Linked DNA regions of Macaca mulatta. The protein of the gene in region 3 interacts with the protein of the main gene of each other region in a pairwise test. Links are inferred from orthologs where the notes say so. Each region holds a gene or a part of one and is shown on either strand. Other genes may lie near its edges. The genes, in order: GPANK1, SNAI1, TRIM23, GEM, KLHL42, FAM133A and CARD9.

Evidence for each region.
Region 1: the proteins of TRIM23 (region 3) and GPANK1 interact in binary tests that used the Homo sapiens proteins (3 or more experiments, as listed by UniProt). The link is inferred for Macaca mulatta from reciprocal best matches to the Homo sapiens genes TRIM23 and GPANK1.
Region 2: the proteins of TRIM23 (region 3) and SNAI1 interact in binary tests that used the Homo sapiens proteins (3 or more experiments, as listed by UniProt). The two-hybrid records come from large-scale screens. The link is inferred for Macaca mulatta from reciprocal best matches to the Homo sapiens genes TRIM23 and SNAI1.
Region 4: the proteins of TRIM23 (region 3) and GEM interact in binary tests that used the Homo sapiens proteins (3 or more experiments, as listed by UniProt). The two-hybrid records come from large-scale screens. The link is inferred for Macaca mulatta from reciprocal best matches to the Homo sapiens genes TRIM23 and GEM.
Region 5: the proteins of TRIM23 (region 3) and KLHL42 interact in binary tests that used the Homo sapiens proteins (3 or more experiments, as listed by UniProt). The two-hybrid records come from large-scale screens. The link is inferred for Macaca mulatta from reciprocal best matches to the Homo sapiens genes TRIM23 and KLHL42.
Region 6: the proteins of TRIM23 (region 3) and FAM133A interact in binary tests that used the Homo sapiens proteins (3 or more experiments, as listed by UniProt). The two-hybrid records come from large-scale screens. The link is inferred for Macaca mulatta from reciprocal best matches to the Homo sapiens genes TRIM23 and FAM133A.
Region 7: the proteins of TRIM23 (region 3) and CARD9 interact in binary tests that used the Homo sapiens proteins (3 or more experiments, as listed by UniProt). The two-hybrid records come from large-scale screens. The link is inferred for Macaca mulatta from reciprocal best matches to the Homo sapiens genes TRIM23 and CARD9.

Annotation. Positions count from the first base shown.
Region 1 is NC_133409.1:150,654,814-150,658,789, reverse strand, and holds the start of GPANK1 (G patch domain and ankyrin repeat-containing protein 1), read right to left. Parts: upstream 2,801-3,976; 5' UTR 2,772-2,800; exon of another isoform or gene 2,483-2,771; intron 1,903-2,482; 5' UTR 1,737-1,902; intron 1,473-1,736; exon of another isoform or gene 1,470-1,472; 5' UTR 1,371-1,469; coding exon 745-1,370; intron 1-744. Other genes in the region: CSNK2B (casein kinase II subunit beta), read left to right, coding at 3,714-3,785.
Region 2 is NC_133415.1:102,827,301-102,831,233, reverse strand, and holds the end of SNAI1 (zinc finger protein SNAI1), read right to left. Parts: intron 1,533-3,933; coding exon 1,348-1,532; 3' UTR 501-1,347; downstream 1-500. UniProt on the Homo sapiens protein: Involved in induction of the epithelial to mesenchymal transition (EMT), formation and maintenance of embryonic mesoderm, growth arrest, survival and cell migration.
Region 3 is NC_133411.1:73,711,484-73,715,443, reverse strand, and holds the start of TRIM23 (E3 ubiquitin-protein ligase TRIM23), read left to right. Parts: upstream 1-1,160; 5' UTR 1,161-1,193; coding exon 1,194-1,274; intron 1,275-3,960. Other genes in the region: TRAPPC13 (trafficking protein particle complex subunit 13), read right to left, coding at 372-417.
Region 4 is NC_133413.1:104,656,929-104,661,183, forward strand, and holds the start of GEM (GTP-binding protein GEM), read right to left. Parts: upstream 2,801-4,255; 5' UTR 2,648-2,800; exon of another isoform or gene 2,559-2,647; intron 1,438-2,558; exon of another isoform or gene 1,265-1,437; intron 948-1,264; 5' UTR 939-947; coding exon 548-938; intron 1-547. UniProt on the Homo sapiens protein: Could be a regulatory protein, possibly participating in receptor-mediated signal transduction at the plasma membrane. Has guanine nucleotide-binding activity but undetectable intrinsic GTPase activity.
Region 5 is NC_133416.1:30,134,240-30,138,399, forward strand, and holds the start of KLHL42 (kelch-like protein 42), read left to right. Parts: upstream 1-1,360; 5' UTR 1,361-1,400; coding exon 1,401-2,272; intron 2,273-4,160. UniProt on the Homo sapiens protein: Substrate-specific adapter of a BCR (BTB-CUL3-RBX1) E3 ubiquitin-protein ligase complex required for mitotic progression and cytokinesis. The BCR(KLHL42) E3 ubiquitin ligase complex mediates the ubiquitination and subsequent degradation of KATNA1.
Region 6 is NC_133426.1:99,944,481-99,948,589, reverse strand, and holds the start of FAM133A (protein FAM133A), read right to left. Parts: upstream 2,801-4,109; 5' UTR 2,697-2,800; intron 2,290-2,696; 5' UTR 2,217-2,289; intron 1-2,216. Other genes in the region: NAP1L3 (nucleosome assembly protein 1-like 3), read left to right, coding at 3,664-4,109.
Region 7 is NC_133420.1:6,136,361-6,140,506, reverse strand, and holds the start of CARD9 (caspase recruitment domain-containing protein 9), read right to left. Parts: upstream 2,801-4,146; 5' UTR 2,728-2,800; coding exon 2,317-2,727; intron 1,805-2,316; exon of another isoform or gene 1,723-1,804; intron 1,151-1,722; exon of another isoform or gene 1,003-1,150; coding exon of another isoform or gene 850-1,002; coding exon 651-849; intron 214-650; coding exon 76-213; intron 1-75. UniProt on the Homo sapiens protein: Adapter protein that plays a key role in innate immune response against fungi by forming signaling complexes downstream of C-type lectin receptors.

The DNA.
Region 1 (3,976 bases), on a different chromosome or scaffold from region 3:
GGATTACAGGCACATGCCACCATGCCAGCAAAACCTGCTTTCTACAAAAAATATGCTTGAGCCCGGGAAGTGGAAGTTGCAGTGAGCTGAAATCACGCCACTGCGCACCAGCCTGGTGACAGAGTAAAACCTTGTCTGGGGAAAAAAAAAAAGGGACAAATTGACTTCCTTCCTACTTAATAATGAGGGAATCCAGGCTGGTCCAAAGGTGGTGGTGTTATCTGAAATGACTGTTCACTCAGTTACAGATCAAACTCCTTACTCTACTTTTCCCCTCCTTCTCACTACTGGTCTTAAAAACAAATTTATTTAAACCATTGTGGGACCCAGAGCAGAAGAGTTGAAAAGAAAAAATTGTAACCAGGCCTAGCAAACTCTTGGGCAAGGGGAGGGATACTAGTGATAATGACTACAGCTAACATTCATATATTGCATACTATGCAGCATGCACTATTCTAGCATTTTACATATATTAACCCATTGAATCCTAACAACAATCCTTACTACCCCATTTCTAAGATGAGAAAACTGGAACATGTAGACATTAGGTTGTTTGCCCAAGTAAGTGAAATCAGGCTTTAAATCCAGGTAGCTCATATTCATAACCACTTGACTATACTACCTTGTCAACCTACACATGAGGATAAGGAAAGAACTCAGCACTGTGCTGGGGCCTCTGGTGTGGAGTGGCTGGGAGAGGCAGAACACAATGAGACAGGGGTCTGAGCTAAAGTTTCCCCTCACCGGTTCTCTGGGCTCCTTGTCTCTCCATGGCTTTCCCTGACCATGCGGGCCACCTCAGGAAAGCCAGCTTCTTCAGCGAGCTGAGCCGCATCCCTGCCACCCAGCTCACAGACCCCCACCCAGGCAGCCCCACGGCCCAGGAGATAGCTCACAGCTGCCCCCTGGCCCGCTCGAGCAGCGCACATCAGTGGGGTCCACCAGAAGGCATCCCGAGCATTGATATTCCCCCCAGCTCCTCCTGCCTCATGGGGCTCCAGCAGTCTCCTAAGTTCTGCCAGGTCCCCCTCCTGGGCTGCCCTCAGTATCCGGTGAGTCATCTTATCCTCAGCCTCAAGGGATCTCCCTTGTCCATATCTTCCTGATACTCCTTCTGCCACTGCTTCTGCTGCAGCTGCCCCCATGATTCTTCTTTTCTTTCTCTTTCTTTCTCTGGCAGGTTCAGTCTGAGATCTTTGGGAGTCAGGAACGCAGCTCTCATCCCCAATAAGGGCCTCATAGAAAGCTCGGGCTGCAGCTCCATCCAGGGTGGACTCTGGCTCCTCGGGCTGTGGCTGCTGCTGCCCATCCTTCCAGAGGTCGCTGGGGTCAGTGGCTGGGGTGAAGGTGATGAGGAAGGGCTGGGACATGGCTTTTGGGAGAACTGAGAAAATGATACCAGGCAAGGGAAGGATGCGACAAGCAAGCCAAGCTCCTGGTGACTCTGTAGCAACCAGAGCCTCAGGGACCTGCTGGGATGAGAAAAAGTAGTCAAAAACACTTTCCTGCCGCTAAAGTGACCCCACAACTTAAGACTCTGCAGGGTCTAAGGGAGAGAGTATATGCGTAAAAACACGAAACCCTACAATACCGACTTTGCTCCTTAGTAAAAATTAATCAAACTCCATGAGACAGTCGTCCAGAGGTCCTGCGTCCGGCCCCCACCCCCATCCTTACCAACAATAAATACCAGCCTCTTTCTGAAATCACTTTCTCACCCCGTAAAACAGACATACCAGTAGGAAAAAAAAAAATCAAACCTGGCCCTTTAAGTCTTCCGTGATCCCATTTCGGAGTTTCCTCTTCCCAAACAAAAATAGACGGGTCACTCCCTAGAAGATCTCGGGGAGAGGCTCCTATACGTGTTGCCGTGTAGCTTCCGTACCGCAAAATGGCGCTATTCTGATCAGCAGAGTTGACACAATCAAATAGCCACACGGCACGGAGACGCATGCGTGGCGACAACAACAACAAAAACCACCACCCACATTACTTGATGGCTCAGGCGTGCGCAAAGCTCCCGGTTCAGTTTCCCGCGCTGGAACTTTTCCAATAGTAAACGAGCAAAGCTCCGCGCGCCCAGGTGGCGCGAGCGCTAGGATCTGTCGGTTGGGGTCCTACTTTTACATAACGCCCCCACAATGCCCTTCGCCTTCCTCTACGTGGCCCCCGCTCCAAGCCCATTTTCTGGAGCTAGGAATCCACTCTCTGGGTTAGGAAAGGCCCTCAGGAGGCGGAGGGAAACCTGTGGAATGCCGAGAAGCCGTGTAATGAAATAACGTCACGCCTGCCCCTCACCATTACTCTGACCAGGGTTCGAAGGTCACACTTAGAGACTAAGGGGAAATGGAGAAGTGCAAGGGGACGAGCAGAATGGCTGGCACCACCTCAGGTTAGCGCACTGGGCCGTTCTGGTTCTCACACAGCCCAGCCCAGCCCAGCCCTCCCAACCCAAGTCCCTACGCACGGAGCCAAGCCGCACCTCTCGCCTCATGAGGCCGGAGCCCGGAGTAAAACAGAAGGCCCGTCAAGGGTCTCTGGCGGGACTGACTCGCACTAGGGGCCCAACAGGCAATAAGGACCCAGCGCATTGGCCAAGGATAGGCCAGTCCCCAGGGAAGCAGCACCGCGCCGGGACTAGAGGGCAACTGTGAGGAGAGCTGCGAGGAGGGGTCCAGCCTGGCTCCCTCCTTTCCCCGCCCTAAGTCAGCTTCTTCGCCCAGTGAGCACACAACTGTATTGCCCAGGCTCCCAGGCCCCGAACGCCATACCTGGTTTCCGCTTCCGGTGGCTTCTCGTTGCGCCCCGCCCGCAAGCGTCCTCCTCCGGGGATTCGTGACAGCCAGGTCGTGCGCGGGTCATCCTGGGATTGGTAGTTCGCTTTCCCTCACTTAGCCGGTTTCTCTCTCTACCGGGGACTCCGCGTCCCGGCATCCACCGCGGCACCTGACCCTTGGCGCTTGCGTGTTGCCCTCTTCCCCACCCTCCCCAATTTCCACTCCCCCCACCCCACTTCGCCTGCCGCGGTCGGGTCCGCGGCCTGCGCTGTAGCGGTCGCCGCCGTTCCTTCGAAGTAGCAACTTCCCTACCCCACCCCAGTCCTGGTCCCCGTCCAGCTGGTGAGTCTGAGGTCTTCGCTGCTCCTAGTCGCTTGTCGCTGGGAGCCGCACATGGGTCTCCGCACTTTGATATGGGGGCGGGGGGAGGAAGCAACCAGGTCCGGCAAGGAGGGAGAGGTGGCTTGAGGAGCGGAGGGGGGATGTGTGGAATCCGGTGAAAGGGACCTGACAGTCGCCCCCAACCCTTGAGAAAAGGAGGGGCCCGATTCTTGCTTGAGAGTGATAAACTTTGAAATCCTTGGGAAAGGCGCCGGGGTCGTGCAGAGACTTGCATTGGTACGGAGCCTGAGTCGAGGTCCCTGCCGGAGTTGACACAGAGAAGAGAGGGCCCTGGCTTTCGGGAGCTCCAGGGACGTGGGTCGGGCTGGTGGGTCAAAGTATCTGTTGGCTTCTTTCAAGTGGTGGGACCCCAAAGAATGTTTAACGTCAAAGAAAAGGGAACTGAGATGTAAATTGGAGGAGTTGGAGAGGAGTGCTTCAGAGTTTGGGATCCTTTAAGAAAGGGTGGTTCTAATGTGGGAGGAGGGAGGATACCCGAGGCAGGGAAGGAGAACTTGAGCTTTACTGACACTCTTTTTTTCAGCTGACGTGAAGATGAGCAGCTCAGAGGAGGTGTCCTGGATTTCCTGGTTCTGTGGGCTCCGTGGCAATGAATTCTTCTGTGAAGTGAGTTCTCTTCGACCTCCCTACTTGCTGGCTTCACATATCTTCCCACCAGATGTTCCTTCACGTATTCCACTTCTACACTGTTCTCTTACATACTACTTGAAAACTTCCCATCAACGAAGAGTCCCCTCAATAACCCCCGACGAACCTGTGCTAAAGTGGCAAAACTGGGGCCCAAGTTTTGACTCTGC
Region 2 (3,933 bases), on a different chromosome or scaffold from region 3:
CTGGCTCCAGCCAGCCAATTTCCTTGCATCAAAGGCCATTTGGTACCCAGCAGCAAGACGGAGGTGTGGGACTGACAAGGAGGCCCGAGGGGGCCGGGAGCCCTTGGAAACAGGAAGGACATCCTCTGTCTCCTTGGTCGCATTCCACTCGCATGTGGGGGAAGCGGCCCCAAAAGACCTGCAGTGCTGGGGCAGCTTTGCAGCCTGCCTAGTTGATAAGACCCAGGAAGCCAGCTCTGTACCCCATGCGCCAAATCGGTTTCAAAATTCAAGAATGAGAAAGTAAACAAGAGCCACAGTGTATAGTGAAGAGCTCATATGGATGCTGCTGGCTCACCCAAACACCAGCAGACAGAACACCCAGGACTCCAAAGCCCTGTGACGTTTCCAAGGACAAGATTTAAGGCTGTGTCAGAAATATCTAAGCTTCAGGAATTCCTGTCTCCTCCTCCCCTACCAAAGACCTTTTAAAATACCCACTCCTCTATTACACCAGACTCTTTTCAATATATAAATTAACTGCTTTATTGAATATCAATAAACTGTACATATAACTATACAAAACGTTTCCTTGATACAAAATGTTTGAAATATAAATACCAGTGTACCTTTAAAAATGTAAACATCTTCCTCCCAGGCCCACCTGTCAGGCCCCCAAAATAGTTCTGGGAGACACATCGGTCAGACCAGAGCACCCCACTTGGGCCCCCGACAAGTGACAGCCATTACTCACAGTCCCTTTTGAGACACTGTTAAATTGCCCGGGAAACAGGTGCCACCCCACCAAACAGGAGGCTGAAATAGCTGCCCGGGCTTGGGGCATCTCAGACTCTAGTCTGCCACCGCCTCCGCAGGGCCCGGGGCTGCACCTGGGGGTGGATTATTGCATAGTTAGTCACACCTCGTGGAGGGTGGCCTGAGGGTTCCTTGTAGGGGGGTGTGTGTGAGGGGAGTGGGGTCCCCTGAGTGGGGTGGGAGCTTCCCAGTGAGTCTGTCGGCCTTTGTCCCGTAGCTCAAAGCAGCTGTATCCAAACAGCTCTGGATACAAAAACCCATGCAGAAAGGCCAGCTCAGGAATCCCCTGGGGGCTGGGACTGCCAGCTGCCCTCCCTCCACAGAAAAGGCCACGGGAAGGCCTCCTCCAGAGCCCACTGAGGGACCCAGGCAGAGGAAACAGAACCAGAAAATGGTCTTCAAGGTCCTGTGGGGCTGATGCAGCCAGAAGTGGGGCACTCAGAAGGGAATTCCATGGCAGTGAGAAGGACGTGGGGTCGGTCCTTCCTGCTGGATTGGGGGAAGGCTGTCGGGCAGGGGGCAGGTATGGAGAGGAAGAGGGAGCCTCAAGGGTCAGCGGGGACATCCTGAGCAGCCAGACTCTTGGTGCTTGTGGAGCAGGGACATTCGGGAGAAGGTCCGAGCACACGCCTGGCATTGGTACTTCTTGACATCCGAGTGGGTCTGGAGGTGGGCCCGCAGGTTGGAGCGGTCAGCGAAGGCGCGACTGCAGTGGGGACAGGAGAAGGGCTTCTCGCCTGGGGAGAGAATGCCAGAAAGGCCGAATGAGCCGTGGGACAACAGCTGGCAGTGATGGGAATCCCTCCCCGCATACCCTAAACCCCGAAAGAATCCCACGATCCCAGGAAAGTCAGGACTCAAACACGCAGCCAGAGTCCAAAGGCTGGGACCTGACGGAGCTCTGCTGCTTCCCACTGTGCAACTCTGGGCAAGTTGTCTGGCTTCTCTGAGCCTCCATTTTTCCACCTGTAAAATCGGGCTATCCATCCCCCACTCATAGGGGTTGGTAAGTGACAGAAGGTAGGGCACAGTACTCATCCACATCCCGCAGAGATGTGCGAAGTGGTCAACGACGACCGAACATCTTTACTGATTCGTCCTACTGTCACTTATCGGGGCCAAAGCCAGAGTCAGCCTTAAGAGGCCTCCCCACCCCCACCTCCAAGCTGGTTAGGCCACTCCTGGGGCTGGGCCAGCAGCCTGCTTTCCTCACTACCCCACCTCTGGTGCTGTAATCCCAAATCTCCTTGTCTGTTCTCCAATCAGGCTGAGTCCCATAAGGGCAGGGGCCTTCTTTGAGTCCATTCTAAGCCCCAGCCCAGGGCCTGGGCCCCTTTCTAACACCGAAGAGGCTATAGAAACCTGTGCCTCTGACACACCATCTGCCTGGCCAAGGCTGTGTCGGAAAAAGTCTTGCATATGGAGCTGGGTACCCAGTAAGTCCTCAATAAGCCCTTAGAGAATAATTAAGTCTGCTTTAAAAATTAAAAAGGCCTCAGAGGAGTCTGCCCCTCACTCATGCCTTGTAATAATCCCTGCTCCAACCAAAAGGCTACAGTTCCAAAAACACCAATAATGCTGTTTGTTTTTTTCTGGGGGATGCAGCATTTTCCACATAAAAGGTCATAACAATAACTCATTAAACAAAAATCTATTGAAGCCGGGTGTGGTGGCTCACGCCAGTAATCCCATCACTCTGGGAGGCCGAGTGAGGCAGGAGGACTGCTTGAAGCCAGGAGTTTGAGACAAGCCTAGGCAATAAAGCCAGACCCTGTCTATAATTTTTTTTTTAAATCTATTGATCTCCTACTATGTGCTAGACACTACTCTATAATACTGAATAGTCTCTTTAAAAAATATGCAATTCTCCAATCCCCTCACGCCCAGCCTGACATGCCCGCGAGGCCAGGGCCTGTCTGTGAAATCCCAGCGCTGGATGGAATTTAAGAGCTGAGAGTGAATTCATTCCATCACCTCCTGGGTGCCTAGGGTGCTACACTGAGCTACCAGGGTAGGAGAGAGTCCAGAGAATGATTCCAATGGGACCCATGCATTCCATAGGGACTTATGGAGCACCTGAGAGCTGGACTCACTCTCATGGGGCAGAAATGGAAACTCGACACTCCAAAGGGTGGGGGACACAGAGGACTGGGGGAGGGGTGCCTGAGCACTACTCCACTCTGCCATTACTCAGCAGCCTCCCCACGCCAGGCCTGAAGCGTTTGCTGATTGCATTCTAAGTCTTCATGTGAATGAGAAGGGTAAGTTCACCCTTGTGAACTAAGGGCTGACTCTAGAGATCTGGAAAAGGGGCTGGAGTCCATTTGTAAGACTGGAGTTACGATGGCACCCCCCTTCCCTTCCCAGGGCTGTTGGTGAAGTCCCGAGCACTACCTCCTGCACAGTAAGTGCTCTAAGTGTGATGAGACACAAACCCGAACAAAAGGGGAAGGAGACATTCTAGGACATGATGGGCTGGGGGCGGGGGCTGCACGCATATGCAGGAGGCACTGACCCCCACTCCTCAGATCCCTCGCCCCCCAGACGCCTTCATGGTACTCCTGGCAAGTGTGAAATCGGCACCAGGCCGGTGGGGACAAAGGGCGCCGAGGGGGGCACTGTACATGCGATACCCCCGGATTAAAGGGGCCTGCCACGCAGTGCGCCAGCAGCTGCGACTGGAACAGGTGCTGGGCACCCCTGCCCCATGCACCTGCTCCACCCCTCCCAGCCCCCACCCACTGGGCCCACCATTAAGGCACACAATGGGAGTCAATGAGGACCGAAATGATACATTTCAAGGGGATTTCTGTGCCTCAGCCATGCCTTTACATTAAAATAATGTCCGGATGGGAGGCGAGAGAGGCAGGCAGGAGAGCAGCATCCTGAGGGGTTCAAATCTCCCTGTGAGCTGGGCAGGCACGGGGAGCCCAGCAGTTGGACCTTTACATGTTAAAATCAGGGCTACTGGTGCAGGAAGGAAAAGAAATGGGTAGCCTTAGTCGAATAAGATGCCAATAAAGCCCGCGAAATGCCAGTCCTCCCAGATACCTCACTGACCCTCACTGCTCAGAGGTCAGGCGCCGGGCCAGGAATGGTAGAACCTGGCCAGCTTGAACCCTGTGGAATCTTCTCCCT
Region 3 (3,960 bases):
TCGTCAGTGCCACAGGAAGAAACGAGAGACAGAAGGAAAAAGCACTTTACATGCCCGCTGTAATTCATCTTAGTTCACAGAGATCTCCACGGTAGGAGCGGGACGTCAGCTTCTGCCGCTAAAATCTCGTGACTGAAGCAGCATAGATCAGAAAGAGTGATTTACCAGGTATCTATTTCATTCTAGAAAGGAGCCCGTAAACCTAAAAAGCATCCAGGCGAAATCGCTTCCTCCCGCCTGGCGCCAAAGGACAGAGCAGGAGGGCGAGCACTGACGGTGTTTAAGAAGGCTGAGGCCTACATGGCAAAGGCTTCGATAAATAGGGAAGGGAAGAAAACAGAAAACGGGTACTCAGGTTCGCAAAAGTTTACCTTTCAGCGCCAGCAGGTGCTCCTGTTTAGGGGGATTCACTTCCATTTTGACCAGCACTTTTGACCCACGGCCTACGGGGGCTGGACAGGTTCAACTTGGCCCGGAAGGAAACGGAAAACCTCGCGTTTGGCAAGACCAGAAGTCAAACGCACTTTCAACTTCTCTCCGGTGGTGGTACCTTAAATTTTCTTACTGTGTTCTTTACAGACTGGCTTCTTCTCACCAAGTCCATTTCTTTTATCTTAGAAACGTATGCATAAAACACTTTGTTTTCCATCTGCTATCGCACATCGCGACTTCAGGAAAAGAAACCACCCCTCGGTTACAATACGCCGCCTCCCAAAGGCCAACTTTGCCGGAGTTTAAAAAAAATAAATAAATAAAAGAGAGAGTGGCATGCTGGGATTTGTAGTTTATACGAAAATCGCGTTGCATGCAGGGAGATGCCCGTATCCCTTCACCGCCCTCAGTTTACACCCTGGTTGGTTTGCGATTCGAGAGGAAAAATCATTAAAGGAGCTGGAGTTTCACCCCAAAACTTTAATTCTGTTTTATCCCTTCTTTTTTTTTTTTTCCCTTGTCTTTCCTCCAGCAGTTGCAGACTACGTAATGAAAAATAACAAAAGTGCCCATGAGCGAGGCTGTGCAACGAAGTACCCCACGACTGCAGGGAGGAGTAGTAAGAGTCGGCTAAGCGGCGCCCTGTGTCCTACTGCGCCTGTGCGCCGGTAGCGTGCGCAGAGGCCTCTGGGTAGGTGGCTTAACCCCGCCTCTCAGTTGAGGACTCTGAAGGCTGCATCTGTGGCGCTACTCCTACGAGGATGGCTACTCTGGTTGTAAACAAGCTTGGAGCGGGAGTAGACAGTGGCCGGCAGGGCAGCCGGGGGACAGCTGTAGTGAAGGTGAGGGACCTTGCGTGCTCTGTTCTCCACCATTGGCCTCCCTTCGGTTCATCCTGGAGACCTGGCTGCATCGCCACGGCCCAGGCTTCGATGGGTGGGATGCGCGGCCTCTGGGCCCCTTTTGGCTTTACAAGTCTTGTCCTCTCCTCTGCATCCTTTCTCTCCTATGGCCTGAAGTTGCCTGGTCTTCTGCTCATGACATGTCATAATCGGAACATTTATGAAAAGGAGCTTGCGGTCCAGTGACCTAGACCGGTCTTTTCTCCAGGTCCTCTGCTTTTAGTTAAACTCAACAGGCATTAGTTAGCTTAGTATTATAAATTGGCCCATCGTCATCGTAACTACGTACTACGTTAGGTGTTTTAGCTCGTTAATATCTACTTATGAAGTAGATGTTAATTCCCATTTTACAGGGAGGAAATCCAGGTTTAGGTAAACACAGTGTGTGGCAGAGCCCCGGGTTGACCGGCTTTAAAGCCTATGCTTTTCCCTATTGTACTGCGTCTGTAATGAGACATCTGTTACTGGCTGAGCTGCCCTCTCTCCTGTTAGTAGTACAGTCTATTAACACTTTTCAGAAGTCTGCAACATCGTCATAGCTGGGCGTTAACGATAGAGTTAATGAATTTCCTTATGCTTGAAGTTTGAGATTCTACCATGTATAAATGCTCCAGAATGAATTTGCTAAAAAATCATTTGAAATATGTGGCAGTCATTTTTCCCTTCCACACTTGTGCACGGAGAGATCTGGAGGGGAGAACTGATCTCATTGGTTTTATAGAGTAACCTTCGGGAGCATCTCTAATCTAAGAGATTGAAAATTCTCATTCCTGGCTACATATTAGGATCACTGAAGATTTTTAGTACACTACTGATGCACTCCTCCTCCAGTTCTGATGAGGTTGACAACAACAGTAGATTTTAGGAATGCCCATAAGTTATTTTAATATGTAACCAGGGTTAAGAATTACCGAACAGGATAATATATGAAGTTCTTTTAACGTCTTGAAAAATAGACACCTACGATTATTCAGTTAATGTTGGTTTTGTATGACAGCAAGTGAGACATTTCTTCCCACAATTTAGTATCAGTCAGTATTGGTGGTCGTTGATTCAGATGACCTTTAGGTAGTAATGAAGTTATTCTACAGGTGCACAGCATATCTGATAACGCAAAAGAGCCCTCGTTATTAGGCATGTTGTGTGATTGAGATTTTATTTATTGAATTGTGCTTTTGCTAAGTAGAGAATACTTGCAGAGTACTTTGTGAATTAACTTGAAGTTTAAGTTTTATTTCATAATTGGAAGGGGTATCATTGCAGTATCTATTTTGTTGTTACGCTGTTTGCCTTATAGTCTCAAAAGTGTACCAAAGCCTGATGTAACTCCAGTTTGTTACAGCACAGAATTTGATACATCAGAGGCTCACCTTGTTCATTTTCATCTTAACATGTAAAATGTTCCTGAACTGTGCAATAAAATAGTCCTTTCTGACAAAATCTTCATGCCATAATTTGTAGTAGCTATAGGGGTATAAACTGAAAAAAACCTTACTGTCATTTGTATAGATGAAAGCAATAAGTATTTATTGGAAGGTAAAAATTGAAGTATATAATGCTAATACTGTGTAAAATGGCCTTGTGCTTGTGAACAAGTTGATAATTACATGGTTTTTATCATTAGAGAAACCAGTAACATAAAAATCTGATATGGCTAGGCGCGGTGGCACACGTTTGTAAAGCACAAAGTGCCTGGGAAGCACTTTGGGAGGCCGAAGTGGGCTGATCACTTGAGGTCAGGAGTTTGAGACTAGCCTGGCCAGCATGGCCAAACCCTGTCTCTACTAATAATACAAAAAGTAGCCAGGCATTGTGGTGTGGGCCTGTTAATCCCAGTTACTCAGGAGGCTGATCAGGAGAATCACTTGAACCCAGGAGGGGGAGGTTGCAGTGAGCCGAGATTGTGCTACTACATTCCAGCCTGGGTGACAGAGTGAGACTCCATCTGAAAAATAAAAAATAAAAAATCTGATATTTTGAAATAACTGACATGTAAAAATGTATCACAGTTTGTTTTGCTTAGTGAGTCTTCTTAGGCCTTTTAAAATTTAGTCTGAGGCTGGGCACAGTGGCTCACACCTTTAATCTCAGCACTTTGGGAGGCTAAGGTGGGAGGATTGCTTGAGCCCTGGAGTTTGAGACCAGCCTCGGCAACATAGTGAGACCCAACCTCTACAAATAATAATTAAAAAAATTAGCCAGGCATGGTGGCACATGCCTGTGGTACCAGCTACTTGGGAGTCTGAGGCAGGAGGATTGCTTGAGCTCGGGAGGTCGAGGCTGCAGTGAACCATGCTCAGGCCACTACATTCCAGCCTGGCTGACCCTTTTTTTTTTGAGAAAGAGTGAGACCCTTTCTCAAAAAAAAGAAAAAAAAAAAAATATATATATATATATAAAATCTGATTGATTACAGTTTGATTTACATGTAATAAGTTTGAAGCTGTTTTGGCATTTTGTGAAATGTAAAATTAAGAGCTTTTTCCTATCTAGGGCTTTTTGCTGTTAACCACAATTCCTATTCATAGATACTGAGGAAATATTTTCTTGCTGGATTATTTACCAAGTTGATGCAAAATAGTCTAGTAACTTTATTTTCGGACCTGTGTTTGGTTTGCTAATCAAT
Region 4 (4,255 bases), on a different chromosome or scaffold from region 3:
CAGGTTCCAATCAATAAATAGATGAAATAAAATTGTACAGGGAAAATTGTCTTGAAAAGCTGTCAGACTCTATACAAAGTATCATTGTTATACTTCACATTTTAAAAAATTATTATACTATTTCAAATACAGATTTTGAACTATTTTACACCCACAAAAGTTTCTAATATTGGTAGAAGCAAACTGATCAAGCCATCCTAACAGCTTTTCCAACTGGCTTGTTTTAGGTATAACCATGGAAAAAGGCTGTGCCTATACTGAATTCCGGGAAGAATGTTCAAGTCAGAGTCAGCAGAAGTCAGAGGTGGGGCGCTGACCCTCTGGCTATGACCAATCTAATCAGCCTTCCCCCACCCATTTAGAATTGAAATCTGAAAAATTCCCTTTCTGGCCCAGGTTCAATAGATTTTGGTCCTGTCTACAAGCTTTTTCATTTTATTGCCCTGAGAGCCTGTGCTTGGGCTTTTCTGGAGACTCAGCTCCCCCATCAATTGTCCAAAATGCATAAACCTTAGCTCCCAACTCTGCAGGTAAATAAGCCACCCACCTTCGCTCTTTCTTCCTGGGCCACGCCTGATGGAAAGAAGCCCACTGGGGCTGGGACACCTACCTCCCAGCACCTCGCAGTCGCTGTCCATGCTGTCATGCACACCTGCAAAGATGTTGGCCAGAGTGGACTTGCCCACCCCCTGCTCCCCTATGAGCACCACTCGGTAGTAGGTGTTCCCTGACTCAGAGGAGATGACTGAGTCTGTGGAGTCAGAGGACCAGCTTCGGCGGCAGTGGTCCTCAGGGGCAGCAGAATGGCGGTTTCGGTGGCTATACTGGTGGGGCTCTTTCTGGACCATCAGATGCCTGCCATCGGCTGGGATGCTCCAGCGCTGCTGCTGCGGCTGCATGCCCACAGTGCCCTGGCGCATGGTGACATTCAGAGTCATCGTTGGGTCCTGGGGAGCAAAGCAGCCAAGATGGCAGCATTAGTAAGCATGAGTGAGAGCTCTGCTCAAATACATGGTCAGTCATCAGTAATATTATATTAGATGAGATGAGAAGCAAGTATCCCTAACATAAAAAACACCAATTAAACAGTCTCCAAAGCCCAACAAGACAGGCTTTCAACTGGACACACACACACACACACACACACACACACACACACACACACACACACTGCTCACACTGTCAGTAACCAGCTCCTCAGGCAGACTGTCATTTGCATGGAAAAAATAATACTGTTAACATCAACCACTGCCCATGGGCTTACCCCTTCCTCAAAGCAGACCTGGATCAAAGAAGAGCTGCACTCGGAGCTGGCACAAAGGCAGCTGGAAAGAACCAGCAGCCTCCAGAGATGACTTAAAAAGCAACAAGTTAATGTTGCTGGGGACCAACTGGTCAGGTTAGCTGCTCTTGTCTAAACTTGGCTCTTAATTGCACCAGTGTCCAGCAGGTTTTGTGCCTCAGTGGGAAACACGTGGCAATGACATCACCCCCACCCCTCCCCACCGCAACCCTGGCTGGACTGGACAGGCACTTATTGGAACTTCCATGTTTAGTAAAGTTGCTTTGATGCTCTCCAGCTGCCTGGAGAGCATCCACCTGCCATTATTGGGGGTAGAGGGGAAATTTTCTGCTTAAAGTTTATGCCTCAGCTGTGCCCTCTTATCCACAGATGCCACTTTTAAAGCATCTCAGCTCCAAACCTAGACACCCTGGCAGAGAAATGATCTGCTCATGTTCAGACCTAGCAAATTTGCACAGAAAGTGCCTCATTCTTAACAAACCACGTCCATTCTCAAGAGTTCTTTAATTCAACTCAGATTCCTTTCTTGAGACAGAGTCTTGCTCTGTCACCCAGGCTGGAGTGTAGTGGCAGGATCACAGCTCACTGTAGCCTCCAACTCCACTTCAGCCTCCCAAGGAGCTGGGACTACAGACCTGCACCACCACGCCCACTAGTTTTTTTATTTTTATTTTTATTTTTTGGTAGAGACGGTGGTCTCACAATGTTGCCCAGGCTGGTCTCCAACTCCTGGGGTCAAGTGATCCTCCTGCCTCGGCTTCCCAAAGTGCTGAGACCACAGGCCTGAGCCACCATTCTCAGCCCCCCTTCTTGAAGCAAATCAGAAGGCTGAAGACTACCCTAAATGATATTCAACAACTTCGCTACAACTTTCCCTTTGCAGACTGCCTCCCCTAGCCGGAAGGTCTGTTTTTCGGGCTACTGGCGACGAAGTGTAAGTAGGCACATTGCAATCAGCAAGATGCACAAACAGTGCTTTCCCACCCTCACCCCCACACTCCATACCCCAACACCTCGCCACTAACCAGGACCACCAGCTGGTTTTTTAGTCTCAAAAGCAGCACCTCAGTTGGCAGACTTACATTCAAACAACAAATACATAAAGCATCATTAAGGGCTGCCCTCTCTGACCACTCGATCTGTAGGAGGAGGTGACTGTCCTACCGAATTGAACTAAGGAACCTGCTGATGAGAAGCGACATCCTTTGCACTTGAAGCTCTGACCCCCACCAGAAAATCCCAGCACAGAACGCACGTTTCAGGGGTTCTTTTCTCAACTTCGAAAGTTCTGCGGGCTGGGAAACTCCCACTCTCTCCCTTCTCCGTCCCGGGCCGCCCCCTTACTTGGCTCGGCCGGATCGGCGTCGGGGCGTCAGCGTATCGCGTGGGTCTGCGCTGGGATACCCGGGCCAAGGAGCGGGTAGTGCTGCGCTGTGCCCGCCGTCCGTGCCCGCCGCCTACAGCCGCCGCGGCCGGGCGGTTTATAACTAGCCCAGCCGACCCGCCGCGGGGCTTTTCCGTGACGTCAGCGCCCCCGCCGGGAGGGGGCGGCTCTGCAGCAAACTCGGAGTTGCAGCCACTTGGCTAAATCGGTTACTCGCAGTCACATGACCCCTTCTCTCTCCATTTAAAAAATAATGACAGTTCAATCCTGGGCCTCCTTTATTTTGTTTTATTTTCTTTTTTACCAGGTGAACACAGGAAAATGGAAAAATACTCTAAGTGCCACTTAATCGTCCTTCCCAGCAAAACACTTGCAAGCTAGCGGGATAAAGGATGGAGGGAGAAGCAGGTTTGAGTTGAGAGCTCAGCTTTGCCAAGAAAACAGGGATCAACCTGGAATGCGCAGAGACTTTAGCCTCCAGGATGAGACTGCAGCCACCTTGAATGGCCAAGGCTTGTTTTAACCGCATCTTCTGCAAGGAAGACAGCCTCTGTCACCTTCTCTCTGGATAGGGGGAAGCAGATGGAGCCCCACAAAGCTTTGTTTCCCTTCTCTGGCAAGGACCCAGAGAGAAGGGGCCAGAAAGAGGTGAGGAAAGAGGACAAGACCTTGAAAAGGGCAGTTTGGGAAAACAATTTAATTGAGGATCCAAGCAGATTGTGCTAAATGTTGTTGGCCCTGCTGCTCTGGGCCAGAATGCTGAGGCTCCTCAATCAGGGAATTTAATCAGCATCTCAATCACCAGCATCTCTGTACCAGGCTCCCTGGCAAGGCTACACCTTGGGCATGAGCCAATACAGCCTGGCCATGGGGAGGAGCACTGAGCCCACGGCCCCTATGAGAGACTCCTGTGAACAAAGGGCACAGGATAATAACTACTACTACCATTTACTATGTACCTCTGAGGACCTCTGCTTAGTAGGTACTGTTAGGCCTCCTGGGACCTTAATCCTTACTACACTCCTGCAAGGTGACTCAATTGCTACCCTCATTGTATGGAGGAGGAAGATGACATAGGGCCAGACAACTTGCCCAAGGTCATACTGCTGGTATAAGTGGCAGGGTCAGGACTCAAAGCCTGGTTTGCCTGAGTCTCTGCACTGCACCACTAAGTGAAGGATTTCAATGACCTCTTTCCGGGGACATGGGTATTTCCCAGATGCTGTGTTTAGAGATGATGCTGGCCTCTCCAACATACTCGTCCGCTTTTTCAGCCAGCTTCATCTCTGGGTTGGCTGGTGGCTCCGGGAAGCAGCCAAAGGCACCAGCATCTATTGAAGCAGTGGACTCTGCTGTGATTAGAGTCGATTCACAGTTATCCTGCAGGCATTTATCTGCTTTGGAAATTAGCTACATGACCAGCTGCTGAGACCTGCTAGGTCCCAAGCTAGCAAAGGTGGAATACACAGAGTAATGAAAACTTAGAATTCCTTTAGTCTCAGGTTTGTGGCCCCAATCTCCTACTTATCTTATACATAAGAAACCTGAGACCTAGAGAGATGATGACC
Region 5 (4,160 bases), on a different chromosome or scaffold from region 3:
TCGGCTCCCTGCAACCTCCGCCTCCTGGGTTCCAGCAATTCTCCTGCCTCAGCCTCCGGAATAGCTGGGATTACAGGCGCGTGCCACCACACCCGGCTAATTTTTGTATTTTTAGTAAAGACGGGGTTTCACCATGTTGGCCAGGCTGGTCTCGAACTCCTGACCTCGTGATCTACCCACCCTGGCCTCCCCCAGTGCTGGGATTACAGGCGTGAGCCATCGCGCTCAGCCAAACTGAACGTGTGATCTCTCTTAATAGTCCTCAGATGATGGGGGCAGGGTAGGTGGAGAAACGGGGTGACAAGAAAAGCTACCTCTTGCAGACATCTATGAGCTGATTTTGTCAGATCTTTTGCGACAGTATAACATTCCGTAATGGCTAGTCCAAGCAGACTGAAGTAGACAAGCAATGGCTCATAGAAAACATGGTTTAAAACCAGAAGCCACGTGATGTAACTTTATTTAGTCGAACTGCGCTTTCATCTTTCTTTTAATAACTTAGGGAGAACAACGGGCCCCAGTGGCAAATGCAAGGTCCCCTGCCTCCCAACCCGATTCCTCTGAGAACCTGCTGCCATCTGCCTGGACCTCCTGTAAGATGGCTCCTACGCGACGACCCTACCAGAGAATCAGCTCTACGTGCCACCAACATTGCCACCAACATGTCCACAGATTGCCTGCTTGCCTCAGCCCACTGACACTCGATGCCGGACTGGGCCAGAAGGACGATCCTAGATTTGATGCCTTTTTGTCTCCCTGGACCAGAGACTGCCTCCTCTTTCCTCCCACGTTCATTTCTTTTTCTTTAGCCCGTGTAAAGCAGCGTGGGAGAGAAAACTAATTTCTTCTCCCTGGGGTACCCCGGAGCATCGCTGCAGCCCCTGGCAGGCGGCGGAGCCGCGCGCCCCGGGCGTGCCGAGAGGCTGCGGGGACGCGCGCCCTCCGCCTCCCGCAGCTGCGCGTCCGCAGCCGGGGCGCCCAGGCCCGCAGCCTCCCGGGCCTCCCCGAGGGCCGGATCCAGCCTGCAGGTCAGGCCGGCGGCCGGGGTCCCGCGGGCGGAAGTGAGAAGGGCGGCCGGGGAGAAGGCTGCGGGCTGGGGGCTGGGATTCCCTTCCCGCCTGGCGCCGCCTGGGAGAGCCCGCGCGAGGACGCCCGGCGCGCTCCGCCGGCCCTTTTTTGGCGCTGAGGAAAAGGAGAAGGGCAGAGCCGCCGCCTCGCGGGAGCGGGCCCCGGGAGGAGGGGCCGCTGGAGAGGCCGGGCGAGCGCGGGCGGCCCTCACCTCGCCGCTCCTCCCGGGCCGCCATCCCTCGGCGCCCCGCCCGGAACCGGCGCGCGCGTGGGGGCGGGGAGGCCGGCGCGCAGATCTGGCGGTGAGCGCCGCCGCCCCGGGGCCCCCAGCCATGTCGGCCGAGGAGATGGTGCAGATCCGCCTGGAGGATCGCTGCTACCCGGTGAGCAAGAGGAAGCTCATCGAGCAAAGCGACTACTTCCGCGCCCTCTACCGCTCCGGCATGCGCGAGGCCCTGAGCCAGGAGGCCGGCGGCCCGGAGGTGCAGCAGCTGCGCGGCCTCAGCGCGCCGGGCCTGAGGCTGGTGCTGGACTTCATCAACGCCGGCGGGGCCCGCGAAGGCTGGCTCCTGGGCCCGCGCGGGGAGAAGGGCGGCGGGGTGGACGAGGATGAGGAGATGGATGAGGTGAGCCTGCTGTCCGAGCTGGTGGAGGCGGCCTCCTTCCTGCAGGTCACGTCTCTGCTGCAGCTGCTGCTGTCCCAGGTGCGGCTCAACAACTGCCTGGAGATGTACCGCCTGGCGCAGGTGTACGGGCTGCCCGACCTGCAGGAGGCCTGCCTGCGCTTCATGGTCGTCCACTTCCACGAGGTGCTGTGCAAGCCCCAGTTCCACCTCCTGGGGTCTCCTCCCCAAGCTCCGGGGGATGTCAGCCTGAAGCAGAGGCTGAGGGAGGCCCGGATGACTGGGACTCCTGTCCTCGTGGCCCTCGGGGACTTCCTGGGGGGACCCCTGGCCCCTCACCCCTACCAGGGGGAGCCCCCGTCCATGCTCAGGTACGAAGAGATGACTGAGCGTTGGTTCCCGCTGGCCAACAACCTTCCTCCCGACCTGGTCAATGTCAGGGGCTATGGGTCTGCCATCCTGGACAACTACCTCTTCATAGTGGGCGGGTACAGGATCACTAGCCAGGAGATCTCTGCTGCGCATTCCTACAACCCCAGCACCAACGAGTGGCTCCAGGTGGCCTCCATGAACCAGAAGAGGTAAGCACCCCGGCAGAGTGCTGCTGCCTTCTCATTCATTCACTTGTTCATTAGTTCATGGGCCCGGTGTTTACTGAGCCAGTAAATAGGGGAGGGTGTGCTGAGGTGGAAATGACATCTTCAGGAATGTTGTTGGCCTTGGTGCTGGCAAAGTTCCCAGTGAACTAAGAAATTGCGAAGAGGAACTCCCCAGTGAGGTCAAGTAGTGGAGTGGTTTTTTGGCAGGTATTGTGCCTTTAGGTGAATCTGCTTTCTTTGTCTCTGTTCTTGTGAAAAAAGATGTCGTGATTTCCTATAAGAATACTTTAAAAGAAAATTGCTCCTTAATTTTTAAAAAAATTTTTCTTAGTTTTTAGGATTCGATCCTGATGGTAATGACACACTGGACAGTAACCTGTGACACTGACTTTGGGGGATTTTTTTCTGTTGTCAGTGACTGTGACAACAGAGAGTCTTTCACACTGTGACACCCATCATGACCAAGAGATAATCACTGGAAATGTATTAACATTTGCAATAGGGGTTGCTTTTCTTATTTTTTATCTTCTCTTTTGCTTCCTTCCCTGGACAGCCATCGTCATGACCCAAAGCTTGAGCCTGGAAGTGTTCAACTATAGAATTGGAATATTTTCATTTACCCAACCTTCTCCCCCTCCCATCCTGCAAATCCCTCCTGCCTCCAATATGGGTGACTTGAAGAAAGGAAGAGGAGGAGCTTGAGGAGTGGGATGAGAGGGGAGAAGGGAAACGAACCAGGGAAGGAATATGAAAACAAGAGCAAAGAGCATATACAGGAAGAGATGGTAGGAAATAAAGACGGTAGCGCCGAGGAGGCCTCAGAGTCATTCAGAAGCAGGGAAGAGAATCAATGTAACTCAAGAAAGAATGAAAATACCCTTTCTTCCCATCCACGTGTTTCCATCTCAATCCTCACAGGGTCCTGGTCCTGAAGTGTGGAGCAAGGAATTGGGGAACTCACAGCTAGGCGAAGGAAGTCTTAACAGTAACAGAGAATCCTTTATATATCTATCTATTTGACTCGAGGGTCCTCCTTGGCCAGGGATTATTTGGGGAAATAACTGGCTTTATTTCTCCTATAATATGGAATTCATTTTGAAAAGTATGCTTTTTTCCCTGATAATACATGGTTACAGAAAACTAGAAAATGGAAAAGAATGAAGAAGCAAAAAGATGATTATTACCACTCGTTCTTCCTAGAGGCAGTAACTGCAGGTTGGCATATTTCCTGCCAGCCCATTTTTAATGCATTATTTGCACCATTGAGATGATACCATATTTAAAATTTGGTATCAGAAGTGTTATTTTAAAACATTCTATGCGCTGTAATTGAAACAACAAAGAAACATTGTGTGGCTATGGGTGGTGGTCTGATTAGGGGTGGGCGGCCCTGAGTTCTCTGTCTCCTCTTGCATGCCTCCAGCTACACATCATTTGACGCTCACCAGGCCATCCTTAGTACCGCAGTTCCTCACAGTTCTTTCTTCCCTTCATACATCCTTGGTAGTCTTTGTCTTTTTTCTAGGAAGGCCCTTTTCATCCCCTGAAAAAAAAAAAAAGCATTCAAGTAATGCATGAATGCATGCTTCTTAGAAAAACTGCAAATTACACAAAAATACAGAGTAAGAAGAGGAAATGTCTGCCCTCAGGGTACAGAAAAAAAGTGTCAGTGTATCGACAGACTTTTGTTACCTTTAGATATTATAAATGTATAAACATTTATATTTGTAAATTACATGTATACTTATATAAATACACTTAACCCTTAAGTAATGTGGGGGCTAGGGACACCGACCCCTGCACAGTCAAAAATCCCCATATAACTTTTGACTCTCCCAAAAACTTAACTACTAAATAGCTTACTGTTTAC
Region 6 (4,109 bases), on a different chromosome or scaffold from region 3:
TTAGATACCTACTACATAAAATTAAATAAACTAATCAACCAAAAAAAAGCTACAAAAATAAAAGTGTGTTACAAGATACTTATGGATACACAATTAAAGTAGAGAATTGTGATTAGAAAAAATCATCTACTTTCAACATTTTCATTGCCTATATCTAGGAAAAAATAATTCCAAATTGAAAATCACAATTGTTGATTAATACATTATTTTTATATGATGCTTTTGTAAGCTTTTTTCTATTTTTCATCTCCATGTTCCATTCCAAACTTTTCCAGGATCAGTGTGAGTGGTTAAGTAGTTATCCGTAATCCTTGAAAAGCATCCAAAAAAACCCCCAAGCATCCCCCCAAAAAAAAAACCCAACCAATTTTAATATGAAATTTAGTCACATTTGCCCAATATCATGCATTATTTCCTGAAGAAATCATAGTTGTCTTAAGTAAGTCAAGGCCAAAATCATTTTACCTTTAGGATTTCACCATTGATTAACTTCTTGCTTAATTCAGTAGAAAACAAAAAATATGAATAGACAGTTCTCAAATAAACATAAACATATGAAAACACAATCTTACCACTAATCTAAGAAATACAAATACTAATATTGATAAATTAATTTGGAGATGTTGATTACAAATGTAAATGTAAGTAGTGATTACTTCTCAGTTTTATTTTGAGTTACTTTTAATTTCTTCTTTGTATTTCAATGTATTGTCTGACTTTATCAATGAACACATATCATTTTCACAAAATGTAAAGTTATCTTAACACCGACTCATTAGTTGTTTGCAACTAATGGATCAGAAAAGAATTTAGAAACAGACCCAAGCAATTTATTTAATGTGATCAAAGTAGCATTTCAAGTAAGCAGGAGATAGAAAGATTACCAAATAAATGGTACTAGAAGAATTAGCTAGCTAATAAAAATAAGTATTTTAAAAATCTGGATCCCTACCTCATGACTCACTCTAAAATACTAATTCCTGATGCTACAAAGTTTAAAACATAAGAGCATACTTTTTGTAAAATCTCCATAATTTAAAAAGAAATAGTGAGTCTCAGAACAATATTTATGGTATAACACCATTGATGTAAATCATTGTTTCTATAACATATGCTTTGATTAAAATTATTCAGCGAAAGGATATGCACTTAGTAAGTTTCATTCACCATTATACTACAATTCTCTACCACATTTGCCCAGCATACGACAGGCACAAAAATATATTAGCTGAATGACAAAAAAAATGAACCTTTATGCACTGTTGGAACTGTAAATTGTGATAATCATTCTGCAGAGAGTTTGGCAATATGTATACAATAATAATTCCATAATATGAAATGATCATTCCCAGGCCATTCATTTCTAGGAATTTATCTTATGACCAATTTTCAGAAGTGCATAGAAATATATGCTTTAGGTATCCAGGGACACTTTTATTATAGCAGGAAAATAATATGTATATAAGGGGAGAGATGGTATAGAAATAGCCACCCTATAAGAGGAATCTGTTCAAATAAATTAAGGCAATTATTTCCATGGAATATGCACTTATTTAAAAATAAGATGTTGATCATTTGCCATGAAAATATAGCCATTAGTAACTGATAAATTAAATGAAAAGACTACAAAACATAATATGGTATCACATAGATAAAGCAGTATACATAAATAGGCAGGTATGTATATGCACAAGGAAATTTCTAGAAGGAAGTGCATCAAAATGCTAGTAATTCTTATCATTTGGTGGTTAAGATTGTGTGTTTTTACTACTGTTGGAATTTTCTGTATTGAGGTTTTATCTTTGCAATGTTCACAGACTTTGACAATTAGAGATATACAATAAAAGTAAATGCATTTATGAGACAGAAAAGCATTTCATAACTTTTAAAAACGTGACTACATGACAAAGCACAAATTCTATAAAGATTAATCTAACTTTAATACAGTTCCTCATTTGAAATGAATAATTTATCATATTTCATATTTTAATTTACAACTTGTATTCTATGACCAGGTTAAGATAGTTAATGTGGTTAAGTAGGCTATTGTCTACATTAGTATGCCAAATTACCTCTGTGGATTTTCCTGTTTCCATAGAATTATCAAGATTATTATCTAAAATAAATCTCTAAATGACTGCATCCTGTAAACTTTTATTCAGATGGAGATGAGTAATTTTTGTCATTCTTTAAAATGTGCTAAATATGATCCTTACCTTTCAATGAAAAGTAAATACTCGTCTTTTTTATTGTACCAAGGTAGTTGTTCTGTAGCAGAAAAAAAAAATCCTGTAAATAAAAATAACAAATACCCGTTTTTAAACTTCATTTTGCAAAAGTTTATTCACATATTACTGGACTTGTAAATCATACTATAGTATGGCTAGAATTTTACAACATTAGAAGGAAATTGGTGGCAGATGACATCGCATACACTGACAGAAGATGCACATTCATTAGCACAAATTCCCCCTCCCATCCCACTGTTCTTGGAATTGAAACCTGCTGCACAAAAGTATAACGCAAATCATTTGCTTTTTAACAATACTACCTAACATTTAATACACTCATTGTTTTATCTACAAGGTTGTTGCAAGCATTGAGAAGGGCTACGTGGCAAGTTAGCAGCAAGGTTGGGGTATATAATATGCCAGCCTAAAAAGAGAAATATAATAAAAATGGTGTAACTGACTCACGGCAACATGGGTTCGCAAACCTTGTAGATGGATATAAACCAGGCTTGCCAAACATCACAGACAGCACTTATTAAATCAGCTTCGTGGAATGCAATACGCCTGCTGTCTAGTCCCTCCCCCCTCTGCCAATAACCGACTCTCCCCTTTTTTATCCAGTGTAAAAATACTGCTCATAGAATATTTAGAGAAAATCGTTTTGTTTTTAAATCGTCCACAGTCACACTACCCAATGACGCCATTTGGACCATTTTCATTCAATTTTTTTTTTTTTTTTCTTTTACAGATTTTTGTCAAGAGACCCGTGACAAACTAAACGGGAATTCAGGATGGGCGGATGGGAGAAGGAAGACACGCCTCTTCTGCCCTTGTTAGGAACTATGGCTGGTATTTTTACCTCATGTCTACGCTTTTTTTTCCTCTTTTAATTATAAAACTATAAATATAGACTTTTTGGGGGGCTCGGGGACACCTTCCAGGGGGTCGCACCTCAGCCGGCGAGCAGCGTCTGGGAAGGTGGGCGGAGCCAGGAGTAGTGGCGTTTGGCCGTTCGTTGGGCGTACGGTTTGTCAATTAAGGTGGACCAGCAAATGAGGAGCGAACTAAAGGCACACTGGGAACGAAATTAACGGGAGGTCTGACTGCGAGGGGAGGGGGCTCGCGATCTAAAACGAGAAGAGATCTCGGGGTCTCATACTGCGCCATTCGGCTGCGGTACATCTCGGCACTGTGTAGCTGCAGCCGGGAGAGGCCTTGCCGCCACCGCTGTCGCCCAGGCCTCCACTGCCGCTGCCACCTCAGCGCCGGCCTCTGCATCCCCAGCTCCAGCTCCGCTCTGCGCCGCTGCTGCCATCGCCGCTGCCACCTCCGCAGCCCGGGCCTCCGCCGCCGCCACTCAAGCATCCGTGAGTCATTTTCTGCCCATCTCTGGTCGCGCGGTCTCCGCGGTAGAGTTTTTCAGGCTTGCAAGATGGCAGAAGCAGATTTTAAAATGGTCTCGGAACCCGTCGCCCATGGGGTTGCCGAAGAGGAGATGGCTAGCTCGACTAGTGATTCTGGGGAAGAATCTGACAGCAGTAGCTCTAGCAGCAGCACTAGTGGCAGCAGCAGCGGCAGCAGCAGTAGTGGCAGCAGCAGCAGCAGCAGCGGCAGCGGCAGCAGCAGCAGCAGCGGCAGCACTAGCAGCCGCAGCCGCTTATATAGAAAGAAGAGGGTACCTGAGCCTTCCAGCAGGGCGCGGCGGGCCCCCTTGGGAACAAATTTCGTGGATAGGCTGCCTCAGGCAGTTAGAAATCGTGTGCAAGCGCTTAGAAACATTCAAGAAGAATGTGACAAGGTAGACACCCTGTTCTTAAAAGCAATTCATGATCTTGAAAGAAAATATGCTGAACTCAACAAGCCTCTATATGATAGGCG
Region 7 (4,146 bases), on a different chromosome or scaffold from region 3:
GCTCCTAGGGATGGGGGCTGGGCAGAGGACCCAGCACCACTGCCCGCCCCCACCACCGCCTTCCCCGTCACTCACCGATGATCATGGAGAAGACACGGGCCGGCTCCTTGCCCGTGACCTTCTTGTACAGCTGTGGGTAATAGAGTTCCAGGCTCTCGAGGAAGGCCACGTAGCCCTTGTGGCCGGTCCGCTGCAGGATGTCCAAGAGCACGCCTGCGGGCCAGAGGGGCCTAACTGGGGGCGGGGCACAGGCGAGGCAGAGGGCTGGGGTGGGTGGGCCCGGGGGCAGGGACAGGTGGAGGCTGGGATGCAGATGAGGTGTGCTGTGGTTTGGGTCGTGGATGAGGCACCCTGTGGGTCTTGGTACTAGGCTGGGGACAAAGTGCTGTCCACCCATCCCTTGGCTGTCTCAGGAGCCCCCGCTGTGGTGGGAGTCCCACTGCCCCTCTTGGCAGCACCGAGCTGGCAGGAGAGGCTGGGGGATAGGGTGGCCATGTGCCAGGGTTGAGGTTGGGCCTCACTGGGAGGCCAGGGGCAAAGCCAGGCGGGGCTCTCCTGGGGTCGAGGGTCAGGGTGGCAGAGCGTGCAGCCACCTCCAAGCGGGCTCCTTGGTTGGGTTTGGGACCTGGGGCCTGCGGGGCAGCACTGACCCACTTTCCGTTTGCGGATGACCAAGTTGGGGTCACTGAGCACCTGCTCCTCATCGTCGGGGTTCAGGACCTTGCACTGCCGCAGGTAGGGCGTGATGCGCGAGGGGTCGATGACCGACGTGAGCATCACCCGGAAGCCCTCCAGGACGCTCCAGCACTCATCATCGTTCTCGTAGTCCGACATGGCCTCGCAGGCAGGCTGGGGGGTGTGGGGCAGCCGCTGAGAGTGACGCCGGCTCCTGCCCCCACCCAGGCCCGGCTCCCGCTCCTTCTCAGACGCTGGGCCAGGGCTCTCGTCAGGGCTGTCGAGGGGGTCAGCCCAGGGGCATCCAGGAGAGGTACCCAGCTCCATGTCCCATCCCCATGCTGGATCCCCCAGGGAGGCGGCAGAGACACAGTGACCCGCTCCCCGCCAGACCAGCCGAGGGCCCCTCCACAGCCTTTCCCAGCCCCTGCTCCTGCCCCTTGGCCATCCGTGTCACCCAGATATGCAGCGGGGGAGACACAGATGGGGTCTGAGAGAGGAACTGCCTCCACGGCATGACTCGCCTCTGGCCTCCGCCTCCTGGACACTCCCACCACGCCCTGGAGCCTACAGGGGCAGCCACCTCCATGGGTGGAGGAGCTGTGGGCACCTGCCTGGCACTACGGCCAGCCCAAGCTGGGTGAGAGCAGGTTGGCCAATGACCCTCCCACTAGGGCAGCAGCTGGGGGAGCCGGTTCTGGCGGAACTTCCCCATTTCCCTGACCGACGCCTGCTCACATCCCGCGCTGTGCCCTCCCTCCTCCATGGCCGGCTGTTGATGATGCAAGAGTGGCCACCCAGCCCTGCCCCAGCTGCCAGGGTCGCTGCACTGGCCGGGAAGAGCTGCCCACAGGAGCGTGCCTCTGTCACTCCCCGCCGGCCCCGCAAGCTGGGAGGGGCTGTCGGTGTTGCCCTTGGCTGGCCAGGAGTGCTGCTGTGCTGTTTTCTCCAGGTTCTTAGGTGACGGGCACCCGTCAATCTCTGGACTCTTCTCCTGCCCCCGATGAGGCCCGACCCCCATCCCACTGGCTGAAACAAGAGAACTACCCATGTTGGGACCAGCCCAGCCACTGCTGTCCCTTTCTGCCAGCACGGTGGAAGCCTCAGCCGCTGAAAGCCACTCCCTCTGGGACTGGGGCAAGGCTGGGAACAGCCACATGGTCCTGCCTCCCACGCAGGTCCCCGGTCCTCAGCCTCCAGCCCCACTGGGAAATGCTGGTTTCCTGCCTAAAGGAGCTGGGTCACTACTCCTGGAGACACTTGGTCTTTTGAAGTGTTTGGTCTTGGTCTTTTGAAGAATTTCTCAACTTCCCACTGTACTTTGTCACCCCATTCAGGACAGTTTTGACAGACAAGGGGCTGAATAGAAACACCGGCCACACAGCGGACAGTCCTGGGAACACTGGGCCCCTTTCCTGCCTCCCCAGCCTGAAATGCAGGGTCCCACCTGCCACCGTAATGCCACTGAAATGAACATGTCTCCGCCCAGTGGCCATGAAAGGGATGGGGCAGCGCGGCGGAGGCTGCCTGGCTGCCTGTGGGAAGCCTCATGCTGCTCTGCGGGGATCAGCGCCAGGATTCTGAACGAAGCCGGCGCCGACCTTCTTGGTCACTTTTCAGAAAAGTACCAGACCCACCCACCTGAGGGTCTTCCAAGGAGCCACCTGCACGGCAGACGCACCAGGAGCCTGGGACGCGGAGCCTCGGGGAGATGCTGCCTGGGGCTGCAGGGAGGGAGGAGCGTGCCGGACGCCTGTGCACTTCCTGATGGCTTAACTCCACAGTCCCGCCAGTCCTCCCACAGGGGGACAGTCCCTGGTGGCCTGCCTTCTGATTCGTGCAGCCCAGGAGGCCCCGAGAGGCAGACGGAAGTGGAAGTCCTCTGCCCTCCACAGGAAAACTGCTCTCAGCCCTCCCAGCCTGGCCGGGGGCCAGGGGTCCTGAGAATGCCCCAGAGGCCCAGCCCGGGCACCTGGCAAGTAGAAGAGACAGCAGAGACCCCCAGGAGGCTGGACGAGGCCAGACCGCACCCAGCCGCTTTGACCTGGTCATAGGTTTCTGGAGGCTTCTTCAGGAGGGCATGCTCTGCCCTGTGCGGACACCCTTGCCCTCGCCGGCATCTCAGGACAGCGGGGCAGGGCATGTGCAGGGGGCACACAGCCACACAGCATGCCCAGCACACGCCTTGGTCATGAAAGGGCTGCAGCCCACCTTATGGAGCCCAGGAGGCCACTGCAGCCTGCCAGGGGCCATGGCACCGGCCACCACCCAGCTGCACACGGGGGAGAAGCGTCCCTTTCAGAAGTGTCGCTCGGTATCATTATCCTTGTCACGAGGCATCCTTGCTCTTCTCCAGGATGCACGTGAGGACTGAGGCCACTCCCAGGGTCCCCCAAACCAGCTTCAGAAGCACCGGTGATGGCAGGGCACAGCCCGCCCCCCATCCACAGACAACGGGCAGCAGGGTCTGCCCTGAACTATGCACTTCAGCGTGGGGCTGCTGGAGCCTCATCCCTGCAGGCTGGGGAGCCCCCAGGCCCCGCCTCACCGGTAAAGCTGGTCGAACCGAGTTGCCACCCAACAGCTTCGAGAAGGGGGCTGCCAGGCTGGAAGGCCAGGAAGCTGGTGCGGAGCTCGCCTAACCGTTCCCAGCCCCCGGCCCTCAGGCCTGACATCACGCAGTGAGGAGTGGAGTTAGGGGTCCTCTGGGGCTCTTGGGAATGCCACACTCCAGGCTGGGCCCCTCACCAGCAGCATGAGCGAGTGTGCAGGCAGGAACGCCGTCCTGGGCCCTGCTGGGGAGTGGGCCCGAGCTGGCACCAGGCCCTCATGACCCAGTGATTCCCCAGCTTGTAAAACGAGGGACCCCAGTGATTTCCCTGTGGTGTCCGTCCTTAGGAATTAACACACATACCATGTTCTCTAACCATGTCGGAAGCTAAAAATCAGTAACAGGTATCTGGAAAATCCCTAAATATTTGGAAATTAAATAATATACCACTAAATAACCCACAGGTCAGAGTGGCCACCAGGAGACTAGGCACCAGTTGCTAGAGAACCAGGCACAGCAACACATGCTCAGGAGCGCGGCCGGCCATGGGACCGTCCTGTCTGCCGGGTGCCGAGGGCTGAGGCCCCACGGTGCTTCCAGTGAGGGAGTGAAACCCAGAGAGCAAAGGGCCTGGGGGCGCTGCTGCCACAGAGACGAAGGAAAGGGAGTGAGGGGACAGACGGAGAAGATGGGGGCTGGTCTTATGCCAAGAAAGGCCCACGCAAAAGGACAGTGAAAGTTGTGGGGGCTGCCATCGTGTCTGGGTAGCCAGGTCACCTGTTCCAGGGAACCCCCTGGGTCAGCTGGGGCGGTGCGAGGGCTGGCAGCCATCTGGGGAGGGTGCCGGCTCAGCATGAAGAACAAAGCCACAGGTGCTTTCCATGAAATGGGCGAAAGCCTGCTTCTCTGCTGGGAGGGCA